Linked DNA regions of Yarrowia lipolytica. The main gene of each other region encodes a partner of the protein of the gene in region 3 in a complex. Links are inferred from orthologs where the notes say so. Each region holds a gene or a part of one and is shown on either strand. Other genes may lie near its edges.

The links. Proteins that work in one complex are often made in the same cells at the same time.
Region 1: YALI1_F19805g (region 3) and YALI1_F25254g share a complex: the UniProt entries of both Schizosaccharomyces pombe proteins name them as parts of the eukaryotic translation initiation factor 3 (eIF-3) complex. The link is inferred for Yarrowia lipolytica from reciprocal best matches to the Schizosaccharomyces pombe genes moe1 and tif301.
Region 2: YALI1_F19805g (region 3) and YALI1_C30205g share a complex: the UniProt entries of both Schizosaccharomyces pombe proteins name them as parts of the eukaryotic translation initiation factor 3 (eIF-3) complex. The link is inferred for Yarrowia lipolytica from reciprocal best matches to the Schizosaccharomyces pombe genes moe1 and tif313.

Annotation. Positions count from the first base shown.
Region 1 is NC_090775.1:2,523,356-2,530,167, reverse strand, and holds YALI1_F25254g (uncharacterized protein), read right to left. Parts: upstream 4,704-6,812; coding exon 1,836-4,703; downstream 1-1,835. Other genes in the region: YALI1_F25289g (uncharacterized protein), read left to right, coding at 1,124-1,151, 1,195-1,505. UniProt on the Schizosaccharomyces pombe protein: RNA-binding component of the eukaryotic translation initiation factor 3 (eIF-3) complex, which is involved in protein synthesis of a specialized repertoire of mRNAs and, together with other initiation factors, stimulates binding of mRNA and methionyl-tRNAi to the 40S ribosome.
Region 2 is NC_090772.1:3,018,460-3,023,737, reverse strand, and holds YALI1_C30205g (uncharacterized protein), read right to left. Parts: upstream 3,156-5,278; coding exon 1,836-3,155; downstream 1-1,835. Other genes in the region: YALI1_C30235g (uncharacterized protein), read left to right, coding at 171-908; YALI1_C30187g (uncharacterized protein), read right to left, coding at 3,589-4,950. UniProt on the Schizosaccharomyces pombe protein: Component of the eukaryotic translation initiation factor 3 (eIF-3) complex, which is involved in protein synthesis of a specialized repertoire of mRNAs and, together with other initiation factors, stimulates binding of mRNA and methionyl-tRNAi to the 40S ribosome.
Region 3 is NC_090775.1:1,977,723-1,983,718, forward strand, and holds YALI1_F19805g (uncharacterized protein), read right to left. Parts: upstream 2,802-5,996; coding exon 1,203-2,801; downstream 1-1,202. Other genes in the region: YALI1_F19764g (uncharacterized protein), read left to right, coding at 1-1,108; YALI1_F19811g (uncharacterized protein), read left to right, coding at 3,418-3,467, 3,610-3,672, 3,749-4,170, 4,229-4,350; YALI1_F19841g (uncharacterized protein), read right to left, coding at 4,451-5,996. UniProt on the Schizosaccharomyces pombe protein: mRNA cap-binding component of the eukaryotic translation initiation factor 3 (eIF-3) complex, which is involved in protein synthesis of a specialized repertoire of mRNAs and, together with other initiation factors, stimulates binding of mRNA and methionyl-tRNAi to the 40S ribosome.

The DNA of each region.
Region 1 (6,812 bases), about 550 kb from region 3:
TTCGATGCGTACTGAACGGCACCGGGCCCATGCATTACAAGCTTTACTCACAAAGAGCTTTCCCCCCATCGGCATCGGGGCGCTTATCCCGACACATGAGACAGCATCATGTGTAAACTCACGTGAGGTGCCGTTCGTCGCAAACAGCAGCCCAGGGATTAGTTTTTCACCATAGCCCAAAAGACACTCGATATTAGCCTCTGCGGCCTTGTTAGCCGCTTCACGGTAGGCTTTAGACAGACACGGAATCCCGCCTGTGGGGTAGAAGGTCATTATCATTGTCATCAAGCTGACTGGCACGGCACGATCTACACCACTCTACACCTCTCTTCTCCCCGAGTAGAAGCCGTCTTCTGCACACAGGGGCTGCAATGACTGCACCCATCCTTCGAGGACTTTTGAGCTTAGCCGTTGTTAAAGGCTGTTTGACTAGCCCGTTTTTGGCTGCGGTGAATACAACTGTACGTGAATACGTGAACTCCGCCGAAAAAGCCCTCTGCATTACACTACAAGTAGCACTTTGCGCCATGAGAGATGACGCAGAGGCTAGTCCGAAAACCAGACGGACATATCACACCCAGTCTGTTTACTATTACCTCCCCTCCTTAGAATGTAGCGCCACCCACTGTAATTCTACCATGTCCAAAGTTTTCGTTTCCGGGGACATGAAGAACGTTCCGCTCCCGACTAGTTCCCGTCTGAGGAGCTATAATAGCGGATGAAAAAACTCAACTAGTGTATTATAGCGTATGATGACCCGGATTATGAATACTAACAGACGGAGCACTAGTGAGCCGGGGCGGAAAAACTAGACAGTGTCACATCCATTATTGATCCAAAGACGACTTGTTCGTCGGCGAGCACACAAGATTTGAAATAAGGAGACATTCCAAACTTTTTACGTATTAGAAACAGAAAAAGTTTTGCAAATCAAGTAGAGGGTTGCAGGGACCACGGCTTCGAGGCTCCAACATCTACGTCACCTTTGAGATTCGCTCTCATTCCTTATCAAACTTTTGGCCTTGGTGTAAACTAAATCCCAAAACGGTCACATTACGAGAGGAAAAAGATAGGGAACGTACCAGTACAAGTAGGCGAGCAATTGTGATCGTTTTGGTTGTGGATGAGTTCTGTTTCAGCACCATACTCCAGTTTTTACGTCGCACTGCGAGTCAATTTCGTTTTCAGCCAAAGTAGTGGCTCGGTTGGACGGCTCGGGTGGGCAGTTTCAGCCGCTTTCTACAAGCGCCTTTCACCAGGTTACCTCTCGTCAAGTCAAGCAGGCGGCTGAACTTTGCGTGCCGTGGTTTAAACCCTCGTGCAATCAACTGCAAGATAAGAAAACGGAGCCACTTGGCGCTGCAGACAATGTCCGTGAAAGTCCATTCTCAACGCCCAAAAGCAAGCCTCTGAAGGTTGCTGTCCCCGAGAGTGGCGTTTTTATAACACAGTGCCATAATCATATCCAACTACAAGTACTCTCTACTTGTACTGTAGTAATATAGGACATGTCACCTCTCGATCGTTCCATTTGATTCAGATAAGATAGCCCACTCTGTCGAGCTTGCTTTCGTATTCAACATGCCTCGCCCCTCTCATGTGTACCAAGCATCTCAATGAAAGTTTACTTGTATGGTTGTTTAACCCACCTTCTGATTGCATTTGCAATCTATCTGGAGCACAGCTCCCACTCTACTCTACTACAGTAGTACAGTATGTACCGTTACAAGTATGTGTACTCATACAGTACTTTCACAAACGCCACTTGTTCTACTTGTTCTACTTGTTCGTATCTCAACAAATCAGTTGTTAATCTATACCAATCACCTTTAATTTTAGTTTCGCTGGGAAGGAGGAATATATCGGCCTCCAGATCCAGCGCCAGATCCACCCTCACGTCGAGAAGGAGGAACGTAGCCTCCTCCGCCACCTTCTCGTCGGCTGGGGGGAACATATCCGCCTCCGCCACCTTCTCGTCGGCTAGGAGGAGTGTAACCTCCAGAGCCAGCTCCAGGAGCGGCTCCAGCATCTCCTCGTCGGCTGGGGGGGACGTATCCACCCTCTCGTCGCGAAGGAGGAACGTAGCCACCGCTGGGAGGGGCCTGTCGACCAGCTCCGGAGAAGCCGGCTCGCTTGGCTTCCAGCTTGGCCTCCAACTCGGCCTCCTTCTGTCGCTGCTTCTCGTAGGCGGCGTCGGCTCGTGCGTTGGCCTCCTCTCGGGCCTTCTTCTCTGCCAGCAGCTTCTCTCGCATCTCCTGCTCGGCCTTGGCCTTGGCTTCCGCCTCAGCAGCAGCCTTGGCCTCTGCCTCAGCGGCAGCCTTGGCCTCTTCCTCAGCTCGTTTGGCGTCAGCGATTCGCTTGGCCTTGACCTCCTCGATTCGAGCAGCCTTAGCCTCGGCGAGATTCTTGACGGCCTCCTCTCGAAGACGAGTAAACTCAGCCTCTCGCTTGACACGGATATCGTCTCGGAAAGACTTGTAGAAGGGAACGGCTCGCTGCAGACGCTTGGCCAGCTCGACCTTGGCGTCGTGCTCGGCCTTGGCGGTGTCCTTGATGAGCTTGATTCGAGTATCGTAGATCTCTCGGTCTCGCTGCTTCTGCTTGACAAAGTCGTCCTCCACCAGCTTGATCTCCTCCATTCGGTAGGCTCGCTCAGTGTGGTCGATTCGCCGAGCAGTGACTCGGAGTCGGTCTCCAAGTTCCTTGGTCTCCTTGGCCAGCTGGTCCACCTGCATCTTTCGCAGAGCGTTGGTGTCCAGACCCTCGAGCTTGTCGAGATCGATAGTGATGATACCCTTCGCGTTGATCTCCTCGGCCAGCTTCTTCTTCTCCTCCTCTCGGATGGCGTCCTGCTCCTTTCGGATCCGCTCGAGCTCTCGGGCGTGCTGCTCGGCAGCCAGACGCTCCTTCTCGGCGAGCTCCTCGTCCAGAAGTCGCTGAGCTCGCTTTCGAGCCTCCTCTTCCTCTCGCTGAGCTCGCTCGGCTTCAGCCTGGGCCTTTCGGGCCTCAATTTCAGCTCGTCGAGCCAGAGTCTCGGCGTGCTCTCGCTCAGCATTGTCCTGAGCAGTAGTGAGAGCAGCCACGTACTGCTGCTCTCGAGCCTCGGCGGAGTTGAGAGGGTCAGCAACAGAGAGAGTTCGACCAAGCCGAGAGAGCTGGGTTCGAACAATTTCAATGGGAGTGTCCTGCAGAGAAGCAGAGCCTGTGGCGGCTCGGACCTCCTCGAACAGCACGGATCGCTGGTCGTGGTCAATCTTAATGGCCAGCTCGCCCTGAGCACAGGCTCGGACAATGAACTGCTCAATCTCCAGAGGGGTAGCAGAGAAAGGGGCAGGGAAAGTAGCCAACTGGATGACAAAGTCAAGCTTGACGGACTCGTAGACCTGCGACAGCTGCTGGAAGAGCCGGGTGAGAATGACCTGGTAAAGAGGGGCAAAGTAGGGCTTGAACTCGGGGGCCTCAGCGATAGCGCCAACCACGGGGGTCAGCTTGGCTCGAATAGACAGAGGGTGAAAGTCGACCTCCAGAGTCTTGTACAGAGCCTTGATCTCAGGCTTGACGTGAGCCAGAATGTTTCGGGACAGCGCAGACTTGAGAAGAGCGTCTCGAGTGGGGGTTCGCTGCAGGTTGAGCAGACCAGTGAGCCGGGTGTTTCGGTATCGATCCTCGGCGCTGGAGTTGTGGGGGATGGCGAGGGCAGACAGAAGCACAAAAGAGGCGACTCGCTGGTACTCGGACACGGGGATGGCACCTCGGGGAGACTGGGACAGCAGGTGGAAGAGCTTGTTCCAGGCCGCAGCGTGGAAGAGGTAGTTTCCGGCGACCAGGAAGATTCGGGCCAGGTTCTCGTAGTAGTTACCCATCATCAGGGGCTTGGCGGGTCGCTTGGAAACTGTCAGCAGGGTGTGCACATCCTCGACGGATCGGAAGGCCTCCTGCCACAACTCCAGCTTGACGGCCACGTTGAGCTGTGAGAACCGGGTGTCAAGGTACCGCTGCAGAGTGTCAGCATCAGACAGATCGACAGAAGTTGCGGTCACGGGGGGAGCGTTGGGGCCTTTCTGGGCAGTGGTCTGCAGATGGGATCGCAGAAGCTCACAGAGTCGTCGGAACTCGGTCTTTCTAGAAAACTTCAGACAGAAGTTGAAGGCCTGCTCGACCACCTGCTGGTAGATGACCTCCAGCTTGCTGTTGTTTCGCAGAACGTCCAGCACGCTTCGGTAGGCCTCCCACAGGAATTTGAGCCAGGGGGTTACGACCCGTCGGTCAGTTCGGTCCTTGGTGTCCTCGGAGGACACCGTGGCCAGAAGCAGGTCTTCAGGCGTCTCCTCGGCCTCCAGATCGTCAGCCTCCTCCTCGTCGGCAATCTTGTCAGCCTGGGCCTGAGCATCAGTAACTCGCTGCTCGGCCAGAGACAGAAACTGCTTGATAACAGGCTCAATGGCGTTCACGTTGGTGGACTGCACGATCTTCTTGTACTGGTGAAGACCATCCTTAATGATTTTGCCCTTGCGCAGGTCAACGGAAAGTTGCACAAATCGAGCCACGATGGGCTCCAGAGTAGCCACAGAAGTGGTTCGGGCCTTTCGGGCAGACACAGTCTCGTGGAGAAGCTCCAGAGCAGCATCCTGCTGGCCCACGGCAATAAGCTCGTCGGTTCGCTTCAAGACCGTCTCGGGACGGACGTTCTGATGGGGAGCCATATTGGTGGTGTGGTTGCTTGGTAGGTGTAACTAGAAATTTTTCAGCAGACGTGTGAGACTTGCAGGTAGGGTAACTTTGAGGGTTAGGCAAAAAGAAGGGATTGTGGTTGTGACGAGGGGCAGAAGTAGAGGGCTGCGACAGGGCGTGGTGCTTGTATTCAGTTTTTGGAAGTAGAATTCTATAAAGCTGTCCCATTTCTCCTCGCATTATCACGTCATCATCAGATCCACTACCTACCATTAGCTCCTAATTTTTTTACAGTGGTGTTTAGTTAGTTAGAGTTTTGTAGTTGGGAGACGAGGAAAGAAGATGTGTGTGCTGTATGTATATATATGCAATTTAACTAAGGTCACATGACCAGACAGAGCCTCGTATCGTACAGTAGGTGTGGAGGAGAGCATGACTTGGAAAGTGTCTAATACGACGGTGATGATATATCTTGGTAAGAGTACTGGACTTGAATGAAGTTGTGCACTTACAGATATCTCATGATCTTTCTCAGGTTTGAATGTACTGTAGGTGCACGTATGTACAGTAGTTTGTATGGAGTGGAACTAACATGCCTCCTGACTGTTGTGTATCTCTGGTCTCTTTGGTCTTCAGATTTCCCCGGTAATCCCGGTGATATGCTCCCTGTTACCTTGAACCGCGGCTTCTCTGATATACCTTCGGGCCTGTGTTAGAGCATTAGTTGTGTAGAGCGAGGTCAGAGACTCTGTGGAGCTGTCGGCTCCGTTGTAGGAGTTGTAGAACTGCTGTATAAGCACACCGGGTTCCAAATGTCATCTATATCTACCAATAAAAGAACTGTATCGTACCATCGCGGTATCTGTAGGTTCGATGGACCAGTCCTCGAGTACATCGTACATACTGTAGTTCACGGAGAGTATATGGGACCCAAAATGGACGAAAGGAACCTGCAACCGCTTTTTCGAGTGCATTGATATATCAGTAATGTAGCTATTTTCAGGCTTTCGACCTAACTGGTACTGTACTACGAGTACTCTTGTGCCATGATGCTCAAAAGTCTGAAGTGTCTCTTCATCTTCCCTGGCGTTTTGTAGCAACACTGATTGCTGGGCCTTACTCTCTCAATGCTGTGTAACTGTACAATGTTACTGACGAAGAGATCATGTTTGATGGATACCTCGCGCTGTTCTCAAATAGCTCCAAAAGTCGAGCGTATAAAGTGTCCTCTCTTGGCCATCTCTTGGTAAGAGAAATGATACTGTTCGCACTCATGTAAGGACGGTGGCGGTTTAACGAGATACCAAATCCACTACAGCTTGTGTGCATACAACGAAGGAGGAAACCCTTGTCCCTTACTACGCTCCCTTTCATTGTATAATGAGCTGGATATGTTGGAGGGACACGCTGAAGAGTAAATGGGAGCCTTTCAAGCTCCTAAACTTTTGATTCTTGAAGTGTCAATAAAAGTACCTGTACTTCAGATTTGATGAATAAAGACGTCCATCTCTCCGACACTCCATCTCCGTGTATGCTCTGGTGACATATGGTTCTTGTGCTACAAGTATTGTAGTGGAAGGTACACTCATGCATCTGAGGGGAAGTGGCATGATGTGTGTATGACCACGAGCAAATACATGCAAGTGGCTCGGGGCTGTACTGTAGATTGTGCTGTTTTGAGAGTCATTCTGCGCTCTACGATATTCGAACTAACAGCCGTAGTTCGCTGGCTATATCACAGCTTGAGCTACTACTGCACGAGTACGAGTACGAGTGCAAGTAGTTGACCGAGAAGGTGTATGGGAAGGAAGCTAAGGTATATTCTGCACATATTCTGTTGCATTAGCTACTGTATGTACTGACACTCGTGGTCTCATACAGAAGGATGGTCTATTCAAGTACCGGAACGATTCTGTATCTGTTGTTCATTCCCCCATACACCATGCACAACCAATGTGACTGGCATTCTACACATAACTCGTCAGTCATATGCCGGCAATCGATTCTGAACCCCATATTAAACCGAAATAGCTGTTGACAAAGAAGTGGCCAGTATGCAAGGATGGATGCTCCCACATGGGGATGAGCAGTCTGCTTGATTTGTCAGGTTGTGACAGCTTTACCATGAGTCATGTACAAGT
Region 2 (5,278 bases), on a different chromosome or scaffold from region 3:
AAGGTTTGTTGGAGAATAATATGTCACTGGAGTAACGTAACTACACAGGCTAGGGAGATAGCTTACATATAGAGGTGATCTTTCGCTGTATCCGAACTATTCCATTATTTACGCTCGAAATTATTAACATTGACGATAACGCCGAAGAAGACATCGAGACAAAGGTTGAGATGTTAATCTCTCCAGCCATTGCCGCCAACTGGGCCACCATGGTGCTCCGACAAATGCAAGTGGCAACCAGTGTGGTTTACATACTCAGTCTCGACATGAAGGACGCCAAAACACATTTCGACAAGGGAATAAAGGTAGTGGAAGCAGTGGGAATCCTTGCTGTTGGTATTGGCCCGCTCTGGAGAAAACCCATGGTTTCTGCTGCCAAACTGCAGAGTTGGAAGATATCTCCTTACCAATTCACAGCTGCCATTCTCACCCTATCTACAGTACTCGTAAGTCTAGCAGCGGTCTTCCTTTTTGTCGTGAAGAACTACTTTCTAGTTGTTATTGTTGTTTTTGTCAACTCGGTGCTGGTCAATGAAATCAAATGGGCTGAGGCCTACTTTTCCACCAATTGGTTGCCTAAAAACAAGTACCTGGAGATGTTTGAAAAGAGCAAGAATATTATTCTGCTGTTCACCATTTTTCCTGCCATGATTGCCACCTGGATCCGAACTGTGTGGTTGTTTGTTCCTATTCCTGTGGCTCTTTTGCTCATATCCTACTTCCTGGCCTTCAAATTGGAACGTCTTCTCGACCAGCAAGTCAAGTACAAACAGATGCTTGAAGACAATGCTGAATACACTCCTCTTGCCGAGTGGAATGACCCCAACTCGTATGACTATTACAAGATTGACATTAAGCAGGAGAGCTGGGGTCAATTCTACACCTATTATTTCTTCCAGTTTTTGTGACCTCAATTGATATGCACTGAAGATAATATGTATTGTTGATTAGATATATATAACTTAGTACATATAACAGTATATATATAACAACCCACTTCTAAGGATACCAGCTTCCAATAATAACGCACACCAGAAAGAGATTCTAGAGAGATTCTAGATAAGCAGATACACCATCTACAGGACAGACATGTCGTCGACCAGCTGATGGAATCTTCTAGCACCCTACTTGGTATCACCTTCAACTTCCGGTGTTGAAAGACAATAAATTAGTGAAGACATTCCGTTGGAATCAGCTCAAGACAGTGTATAATCAGCCTGTAGGAGGAATAAAAGTATCTTAAATTTAAATATACCGTATCTACAGATGATCCAGAGTGGGTATGATAACTCCTTTAAAAAGAAATGAACTTCTCATTGGTAGACACAACATATAATATGGGTGTAGCTACAAGTACATACTACCTGCTGATACCAAAGACGAAAAAGCTGCCAACACATATATATCAAGTTTGGTTTCGAATACGTTTCCAGGTTTTTTAAATGTAAATATCACCTAGGTGTATCCAAGCCATTATCTGTCCTTCTCTTCTTACGGAATGAAAAGTGTGGTTGAATGAGCAGTGTGGTTTTTTGTTTTTTTTCTGCATATACATTCATTTAATTGGTGTACACAACATGAGAAGAGACACCTAACCAGACATGTGTATTGCAATAAGTGGTTAAAGAAACGCCATTCAATTCTGTCTTGAATTCTGGGTACAGCAGCTATTGTAACATAACTCAGACGAAACTCACAATTCGCTCTTGCTCCTCGAGTACAGTACTTTCATAAACATCTACACATAATTACGGTAGACACATGTCATAGGCCACTTTACTCGTACTCTACATTCTCCCCATTGCTTATCAACCATATAATCTCTATTTTACCTCCTAAGCAGCAATTTTTCTCTTCTGCGCGTTGGCGTTCTCTCGGGCCTGCTTGACCACGTGGAGCACGTCGTTGATGCTCTTCTTCCACACATCCAGCTTCTGGCTGATGACCTCCCAGTCGGCCTTGGCGATAGGACCGCTCTTCTGGGCCCGGTGCACAGCGAACGACTGCTTGGTCTGGCTCAGACGGCCCTCCACGAGACCGGCTCGGATCGTATCGATAACCCACAGCTCCACTGTGTCCAGAGAAACGTCCAGGTTCTTGGCGATGATAGAGTACTCGATCTCAGGAGACTCGGCAGCGAGGTTGGCCAGCGCAATGACTCGGGTCTTGGCGAGCAGCGACTCCGCATCAAAGTCGTTCTCCTCAATGAGGCTCTTGGCGTCTCCGGCGGCCAGAGATTGCATCTTGGCCACTTCTCCGCTTGCCACGGTGGTCAGCAGCTCGAATAGTCGCTGTTCTGTGGTCTTGAGGTCCTCCACGGGCTCGAGAGCCAGAATAGAGCCAAAGTCGTACACGTGGTCCGACTTGAGCGCCTGCTGCACCAGCTTGCAGGTCATGGGGAAGGTGGAGGTCTGGGTGTTGCCAACAGCAGCCACCAGCAGAGCCAGGGCCTTGGCGGGCTCGTCCAGCTGCACGAGGGCACTGTAGATCTTGGCAATGAGCTGATCTCGCACGTCAGCCTCAATCTGCCACGTGTTGATCCATGTGACGGTCTGGTCGGACTTGAGCTGTCCGGCAAGAAGATGCAGGTTTCCAGTCTCCTCAGCGGTGGTCAGAGCAGCCAGAAGGGTGTTTGCGAGCTGTGCGTCGTCGTGGCTGGAGCTCAGCATATTGAAAAGAGAGGCCAGGACAGCAACAACGGCCTGGCCCGCAGCAGCGGGGCCGTTGAAAGATCGAGGCAGGTTGCTGTGGCCGGAAATGGCCTTCAGAACAGCATCAACCCACTCAAAGGACTCGGAGAAGGAGAAGACGTGCAAGCACAACTGCCACACGGACTCAAACTGCTGCTCCGAAGACTTGTTTAGCAGAGGGAGCTGCTGAGTAATCAACTCAAACACCTTGGGCTCCTCACCCGCAGCCAGAGCTCGTTGGCAGTTGGCCTCCAGCTCGTCGCAGCCAAGGGTCTCGATGTACGCGGTCAGCTCGGCCACCAGGTCGGCCAGAGAGCCGTCGACAACCATGAAATTGATATCGGACATGTTGGTTGTGTAGTGGTGGGTGTGGTGGTTGATGTGAAATTTTTGGGCCCTCCATAGAGTTATGGTTAGGGTTGGGGTTAGATTGGAGAGCTCGTTGTTACCACCTTTTCTGGCCATCTGGGGTGTAAAGTAGCCTTATATACAGGTACAAAATGTCGTGCTCATTACACTGGTTGTTTCAGTGTGACCAAATTCCATCTCAATCACCTCTTCTACCGCCCCGTTCTCTCCTTTGGATACTCAATTGGGAGTAATGAAATTTCACCTTAAAAAAAAAGAACCCGAAATTTCAACTGTCGATGTTGGTTGGGAGGAGAAGGAAATGCACTTGACTTGTTCACACAGAACATTGCTACGACAGAATGTAGCAGTAGGTGCAAGTACAAGCACCTGTCGCGGTTGCCACCATTACTCTTCATTTCAATACAATGATGTTCCTTTTTTTCCCAAAGTATATCCAAAATATCCATTCAATACATAATACAAAATACATCCCCTTGGTCAGCTTAGAAACTATCTGTAGGCCAGTATCCGTCTGTCGTTAAGCAGCCTACAAAAACTTGTCAGTAAACCGCCCCTTAGATCGAGTAGCATCCAGGAACAACGACTCGCACTCCTCCACGTCCTTGACCTCCACCACGTCTCGTCCCTCGCTCTTGGCCAGCACTCCAGCAGGAGACAGAAGCTGAAGGCCGTATCTCAGCGAGGTTCGGGCTCCATGTTGAGCAAGGGCGTCCAGAGCGTCCTCGGAAATCTGCTGCTGTTCAACCACAGCTCGCTTCTGAATGATGGTCTTGATCTCGTCCAGAGAGTAGGGCAGAGTTCGCACAATGAGCAGTCGATCGAGCAGATCGGTGGTGATGCCGTGAGGAGACACATCGTCGTCCACACCCCGAACTCGGCACATGCCTCGGTTGGACGCCAGGATGACAATGGGCGAGATTGTCGACTCCAGAGCCCGGTTGAGGTAGGTAAAACACTCCACATCTAGCATGTTCACCTCGTCGATAAACAGTACACCAGGCACCAGTTCAGCCACTCCCTGGTCAATGTACGACTGCACCTTTTTGTTGACCTCCTCTCTCAGCTTGTCTGTGATTTCTGTCTTTTTGGGCTTCATCAGCGAGCCCATCATCGACATGACATCCTGTCCTCCCTGAGGCCGTGCATTGGCCACATCCAAATCATGCAGCGTTACGTCCTGCACAATCTCCTTCTTCTTGTGCACCTCTCCCTTGGGCAGGGGAACGTACTCCTCCGTCTCGAGATCAAATTCGGTAGCGTAGGCATCCGATCGTCCCACTCGCTTGACAGCACCAGTGTTGGCCTCAATGTAAATCACGTCGCCAACGGCCACCCGCTCCTTCTGAATCGACTCGTAGATCTTGGGATCCAGCCGCAGTTGCTTAGTGCCTCTGTAACTCTTGAGACCCACCACCACCGACCGGATGGTTTTGCCGTAGCCTCCCAGGGGATCTTCGGCCTCCTCGGGCGTCAGCTCCGTCACCTCTCCCTCGTAAATGTCCTTGGTCTCCTTGATTCGCAGTCCAATGGCCCGTCGAAAGTTCTCCATCAGAGCAGCAGTCTTCTTGACCTCTGCGGAGAAAATCTCAGAACCAACAATGGGGCAGAAGGGGACCTTGGGGCCGAGTTCCTGCGAGACGGCAAGCGCCAGAGCAGTCTTTCCGGTACCGGGACCGCCAGCAAGAAGGATTCCTCGGCCGCTCATCTTGCTGGCTCGAATCAGGTCAACCACCAGTCCCAGGGCCTCTCGAGCCTCGGTTTGGCCCACAAACCCCGCATCAATGGGCTTGGCGACACCCATTTCGTTGAGACCTAGACCACGGATATGTGTGTGCGCGGCTGTGCGGGTGTCTCGCGAATTGCTCTTGATTTCGTTGATTTGCACCATGGTTATGTCTAGTAGTGATGGCAAGTGGTGATGCAGACGGCTTGATTTTTTTGGTGCAGTGTGGAACCTTGATGAAAGAGCTGAACTGTAGGTAGGGTAACTTAGGAGGAGGAGGTTTGGGGGTGTTTGAGGGGCGAGGGAACAAATTTGACAACTATTATGGGGTTATTCAAGGCCACATTATACTGCTGATCTGATTCAAATGTCAAATTTCGTGCTCTCAACGTCTACTTGGTGTGGGGTTGTGGAATGTTAGGGCTAACAATCTTGGGCGTGAGTTGACATGACTTGCAACATTAAGGCGCCGCAATAGCTGTTTTGTTGACAA
Region 3 (5,996 bases):
TTTGAAGTACAGAATTCTCACAATGTGGAGGTTCAAATCACGTGCCAGACTCACCTCGCGGGTCAACAACGGAGTCATGGCAAAGACCATTCTGGTACACTGGAGACAAGTCACTGCCGAGAGGATTGACTCTCGTACAATGATGTTTCAGAAGAAAACAATGGAGCTGAACCAGAAGATTGCTCATCGTTTCCTGAACATCTGGAGAGACCACCTTGAGGATGTCGCTTTGGATATGTCCCGTGCCCACCAACATTATCGTAATGGTCTTTTGACTCTCGGCTTTAGCAAGATCAGCACAGTGTTCAACAAGATGCACGATATGTACTCTGAGGCTGAAGATCTACGCAACCGGAATGTCGGCAAGAGTTTTCTGAAATACTGGCGGACCAACATGGAGACAAAACGAAGTCGTCGTCATGAGGAAGAGGTTCGCGAGTTCCGTGCTCACCGAGACCACCAAATTGCGATAACAGCATTCTCCAGGTGGAGACTCGCCAAGAACAAGGTGGAGGAGGATATGGCTGTTGCCGAGGACCTTTTCATCGAGAAGGATATGTTGACCATGAAAGAGATATTTGATCATTGGAGATTCCTATCCGAGCAATCCAGAGGTCTGGTGGAAGATGCATCTGCCATCAACGACAAACGTCTTTTGAATGCGCACTTTTCTTCATGGCTGTTCAAGGCTGAGAGGGCTGACCTGTTCAGCAAGGCTGCCAACGACACACGAACGAAGAACCTCAAGAAGATCCAGAGACAACACGTGCGCAAATGGCGACTGCGAACGTTGCGCATGATCCAGAACCAACGAACAGCCGAGGACTTTGAGAAGAAGCGCGACTCTCGACTCGCGGAGCCTTACTTCAAAAAATGGCTAAATAAATGCAGAGAAAAGACTGGTTTTGGTCCCACCCTTTCAGATGAAGCAGTCAACTACCATGAAATTCGAGAAATGCATGGCTTTGAAACTCCTTTGCGGTCCAGCAGACGTCCGCCCACTTCTATTAGAATGAGCCGTTTGCGTCAGGACCCCAGCACTCCACGAACTCTTCTCGCACCCCTGTTACGAAAACAACTGGACAACGTGAATCAACAAACTATTTAATAATGTACATTAGCTATTTATCATCTACACTACACAGTAATTACATTTTATACTAACCAATCGTATTTCTATAACATGATTTTTTTAAAGCCATCTAAAAGCCAGCAGCGGGCTTGTAGATCTTGACGGCAGGGTTGTTGGGGTCCTTGACGAGAACGTACTTGCCGTCGTCCTTGGCGGTGGCAATGTTGACGACGGACTTGAAGATACCCCAACCGTTGTTAAGGTTGACATTGATCTGCTCAGCAAACTGCTTGGGCTCTCGGCTGACAACACCAATGATGTTGTGCTGGGTGTTGTCCTTAGGGGACACTCGGGAGGCGAAACCAATCTTCATCTGATCAACATCACCGAGAATGCTCTGCACAGTCCATCGAGAGATCTTGTTGAGGTTGTGCTTGAGTTCAGCGGCGATGATGGCACCTCGGCCGGTGTTGAACTTGTTCTTCCACTCGGAGGAGCCGTACTCGTTGAGAACACGCAGGTTGAGGGTAGTGCCGTCAGGTCCAAGAGCGTCGACCTCGGTTCGGAGGATGAGGTTAAGGGGTGCTCCCTCAGGGTCGTCCGAAAGGTTGAACTTCTTGTACTTGTAGGCGTGGCACAGGACGTTGGAGTCGTTGTTAGAGAAGGGGTTGGCCTTGTAGGAGACCTTGCTCTTGGGGTCCTCAGTAATAGCATTGGAGGCAAAGTTCTGGTTAATCAGAGTAGCCTCAAAGCCAAGGTTTGCGGAAGAGTTGATGTTGTCCTTGTCGGTGGAGTCAGCAGGAGGGTCAGCAGCGTTCTCGTCGACGGTGATGAAGTCGAGAGGACCACCCTCTCGCTTGTCAAAGAAGAGCTGCTCACCCTTCTTGGTGATGACAATATCCCAAGGAGCCACGGACTTGGTGGTGCACATGATCTGAGACAGAATGGTGTCAGTGATGAAGATTCGGTTGGCAGGGTCCTTGGCGAGCTCCTGCATGATGGGGTCCTCAGAGGTGGTGGTGTTGAACACGGTTCGGCCGAGGTGAGCGAGCTTGGTAATGTTGTTAGTACGGTCGAACTTTCGGTCGTAGGGGAACAGGTCTCCGTAGGTATCAATCTCCACTCCCTGGGCAACGTCGTAGCTGAGCTTCTGCATCTCGGAGTAAGTGATCTCCTGGATCTCGGTCCAGTCGTCGGTAATGTCGACGGAGGCGTTTCGGATTCGCTGGGGCTTGTCAAAGTCTCTCCATCCGAACTTGCTCTTACCAAATCGAGGGTTGGGGCCTCGCTGGCCACCAACGGGTCCCCGGCCGGGTTGATTCTGGAATCGGCCTCCTCGCTGGGAACCTCCTCGTCCAGCGAAAGAGCCACCTCGGGGAGCACCTCCTCGAGTCTTGAGAACGGTGGCAGTTCCTCGGGGCTTGTTGGCGTTCTTGGCGTTGTCAACCACGGAGAAAGATGACAGCTCCTCAGCATCCTCGTTGGTGAAGAAGGAAGCGGAAGAGGCTCCGTAGGCATGGTAGGGGTCTCGGAAGTTCTTGCCGAACTGGGTTCGCTTCTGGTCCTTACCGTCCTTGGTCTCAGCAGCCCAGTCAGCCACCTTACCGAGCTTGTCTCCCTTAGAGAAGGGGGCGTAAGGAACGTCGTCGAACTTGAGGTCCTCAGGGACGGTAGAAGGGGGGCCCCAAGGGGCGTTTGCGTCGAGAAGAGCGGGAAGTCGGAGAGCCATTATTGTCGTCTAGATGTGGATGTCCGGCTGTCTAGTTTCAATATCGTGGGTCGTGAGCTTAATTTCCAATTTTCACCTATGCCATGCTTAAATTTTTCCATGCGTGGATATTTCAGTCCCAAGAATATTAGAGTACGAGAGGGTGAAGACCTCCTACAATTCGTTGCAAGAGGGTGTCGCATCAAATAAGACCAGTAAAACTGTATCAAGAATGTCGAAAATGCTCACCTAGCTTTTCACTTTGTGAAAAGGCACGACCAGTAGCGTATTTGTGTCGAGACATCTCTAGTTGAGATTGCGAACATGCTCATGGGAGTTTGGGAGTTTGTTCAAGAACATCTTGTTTTCTCAGTAACTAGAAGATGTCGCCAAATAACACTATTGTGAGAGATTAGAAGAGTTGAGAAGAATACAAATATTATTATCACATCCGGGAAACTTCAACAATTACCAATATTACGAAGAGAAGGGCCTGCTCCTCTATTTGTGCAGCAACTCAGCCCCACTAACTTCAACGGCTTAGTAATCATCGACTTAATAAGCACCTCCCAATATCGATATCGTTGGAGTTAACACAACAGCACACAGTATCATCTACACCACACATCACAACGCAATGAACGGAATCAGTGTAGATATGAACCACCTGAAGAAGGGCGAGGTCAAGTGAGTACACCGCATTACAACTGGTACAGTTGTCCCTGCAATTGACCCCTTCAAGACCCCTTACTAACACAGCCTCGGAACCTCCATGTATGTATCACCATTTCGCCACCAACACCATCTAATGATACCCCATCCGCAATCGCACAGAAACTAACAACAGTATGGCCGTCAAGTTCAAGGACGGAGTCGTGCTTGGCGCAGACAGGTGAGTATCAACCAGGATGACCGCATTCGCCACCCGTCGGGACCCATCAAATGTTAGAACAATCCCACTAACACAGTCGAACAACCACAGGAGCTTTCATTGCCAACCGAGTCACCGACAAGCTTACTCAAGTCCACGATAAGATCTGGTGCTGCCGATCTGGCTCCGCCGCAGACACACAGGCCGTGGCAGACATTGTCACTTATCATCTGCAATCATACGCCGCCCAGAACGACAAGGACCCCTCTACGAAGGTGGCGGCCTCAATGTTCCAGGAGCTGTGCTACAACAACAAGGATAACCTCACTGCAGGTATCATTGTGGCTGGCTACGATGACAAGAACGGAGGTGAGGTGTACAGCATACCTCTTGGTGGTTCGTTGCACAAGCAGGACTACGCCATTGCCGGTAGTGGATCCACATACATTTATGGTCTTTGTCAAAAGAACTTCAAGCAGGACATGACCAAGGACGAGTGTGTTCTGTTCATCAAGAACTGTGAGTATTCCCCCGAAACAAGTATACCTGAGATATCCCGGTATTGTTACTAACATAGCGCTTGCCCAGGCCATTAAGTGGGACGGTTCGTCTGGAGGAGTCATTCGAATTTGCATTCTCACCAAGGATGGAGCTGAGCGACAGATCTTCTTCCCCGACGAGTATGAGGCTGATTACTGATTCTATAGGTTTTGGCATGTATGGAAAGAATAATAATATACAAGTGAAGTTATTCACAGGCGAAATTGTATTTAACGTATAAATAAGGACATTGCAAGTCCTAAATGTCAAAGTCCACATCGTCGTCCACATCTGACTTTCTGCTCTTCTTCTTCTTCTTCTTCTTCTTTTCTTTCTTGTCTTTTTTATCCTTGTCCTTCTTGTCCTTCTTATCTTTCTTCTTATCTTTCTTGCCTTCGCTCTTTTCCCCAGGCATGCTTCCCAAGAGGTCGTCGAGGGTGGAGAACCCTTCCTTTTTCACTTGGGGAACGGGGGACTGAGAGGGTGCTTCCACTTCACTATCAGCATGTTCAGTCTTTATCACAGGTTCCTCGATATCAGAGTCAAAGTCGAAATCATAGTCGTCATTTGGTTCAGTCTTGGGATGAGGGGTGTCTTCAACATTGCGCGCACCAAAGTCGTACTCGTCATATGGCGAGGGCTCAGGCTTGACAGCGAAATCACTGTCTGAGTTACCAAGTGCTGACTCCTTATCTGGCTCTAATTTGACTTGAGGCTCCGAATCTCCATCAACTTGGATTTCATAGTCATCAGAATCCTCGTCAACTTCAATTTTGTCGTCATCGGAATCGTTGCCATCGCCATCGCTGTTAAGCGTCTCCCACCAAGGAACTACTTCATCTGACCCAGCTGAACCATCATCAGCGACCTCAGCATCCTCCGCAGCCTCAGCACTCGCGTTCTCACTAGCAGGGTCATCGTCATCATTAAGAGTCTGGTCCCACCATGGTACCGTCTCATATTCGGAGTTGCTGTCATGTTCACTGGCAAAGGCAGAAAACTGACCTTCGTTTTTGATGGTTTCGAGTTTGACTTCGCCGTGGGCATGGCCGCTCGAAATGTCATCCAACAAGCTCAGATACTCTTCAAGACAAAAGATCATTCCTCCCTTATGTGCCAACTCAAACTGCACCCTGCATCGATCTAGCAGTTCCTTTGAGGTAGCTGACAAAACTCCTTGTTTCTCGATATTGTAATAGACACATCTGAGCAATACGATACCCCGAAGATACATTAGCGACGAGTCCTCCGAGAAGGGCGGGATCAGCATGTCCTCATCCAAACGGGTAAGAAGGTCTTCAGGCGTACCATTGAACTTGAGGTGTACAAGGGCCAAGTTTCGTAAGAAGTCATCACTTCTGGAGATCAAGTGCCGTATATCTCGCCCCAAGAGACTGAACTCATTGAGTTGTCGATTGTGAAACTTCAAATATGACATCTCCAGCATGAGAAAATTCAAGAAATTAGTGCAAGCGGATAGATTGTGAGGCGGTTCCTTGGTCTCGACAAGAATCTTGATACCTGGGCCCAAAAGACTACCGCGATGGAAACTGCCATTACGAATAGCCAACGCAAACGCTTTCGACGCGGTCTTCCAGTTCTTGCGCAAAATTGAGGTTTGAAGGATGACAGCCGTTGGTGTAAGTCCGGTCATCGCAAACCGCGGGGACGTTCTAGTGGCCTTGAATTCCTTCCGAGGTACTAACCTCAGGCCATCCACACGGCTGGCGTTTCGATTTAAGAACTTGCGCACATGCTTGCGCGTCTTTCTGTTGTTGATGGCGCTCTGTAGCATAGGGCTGTTG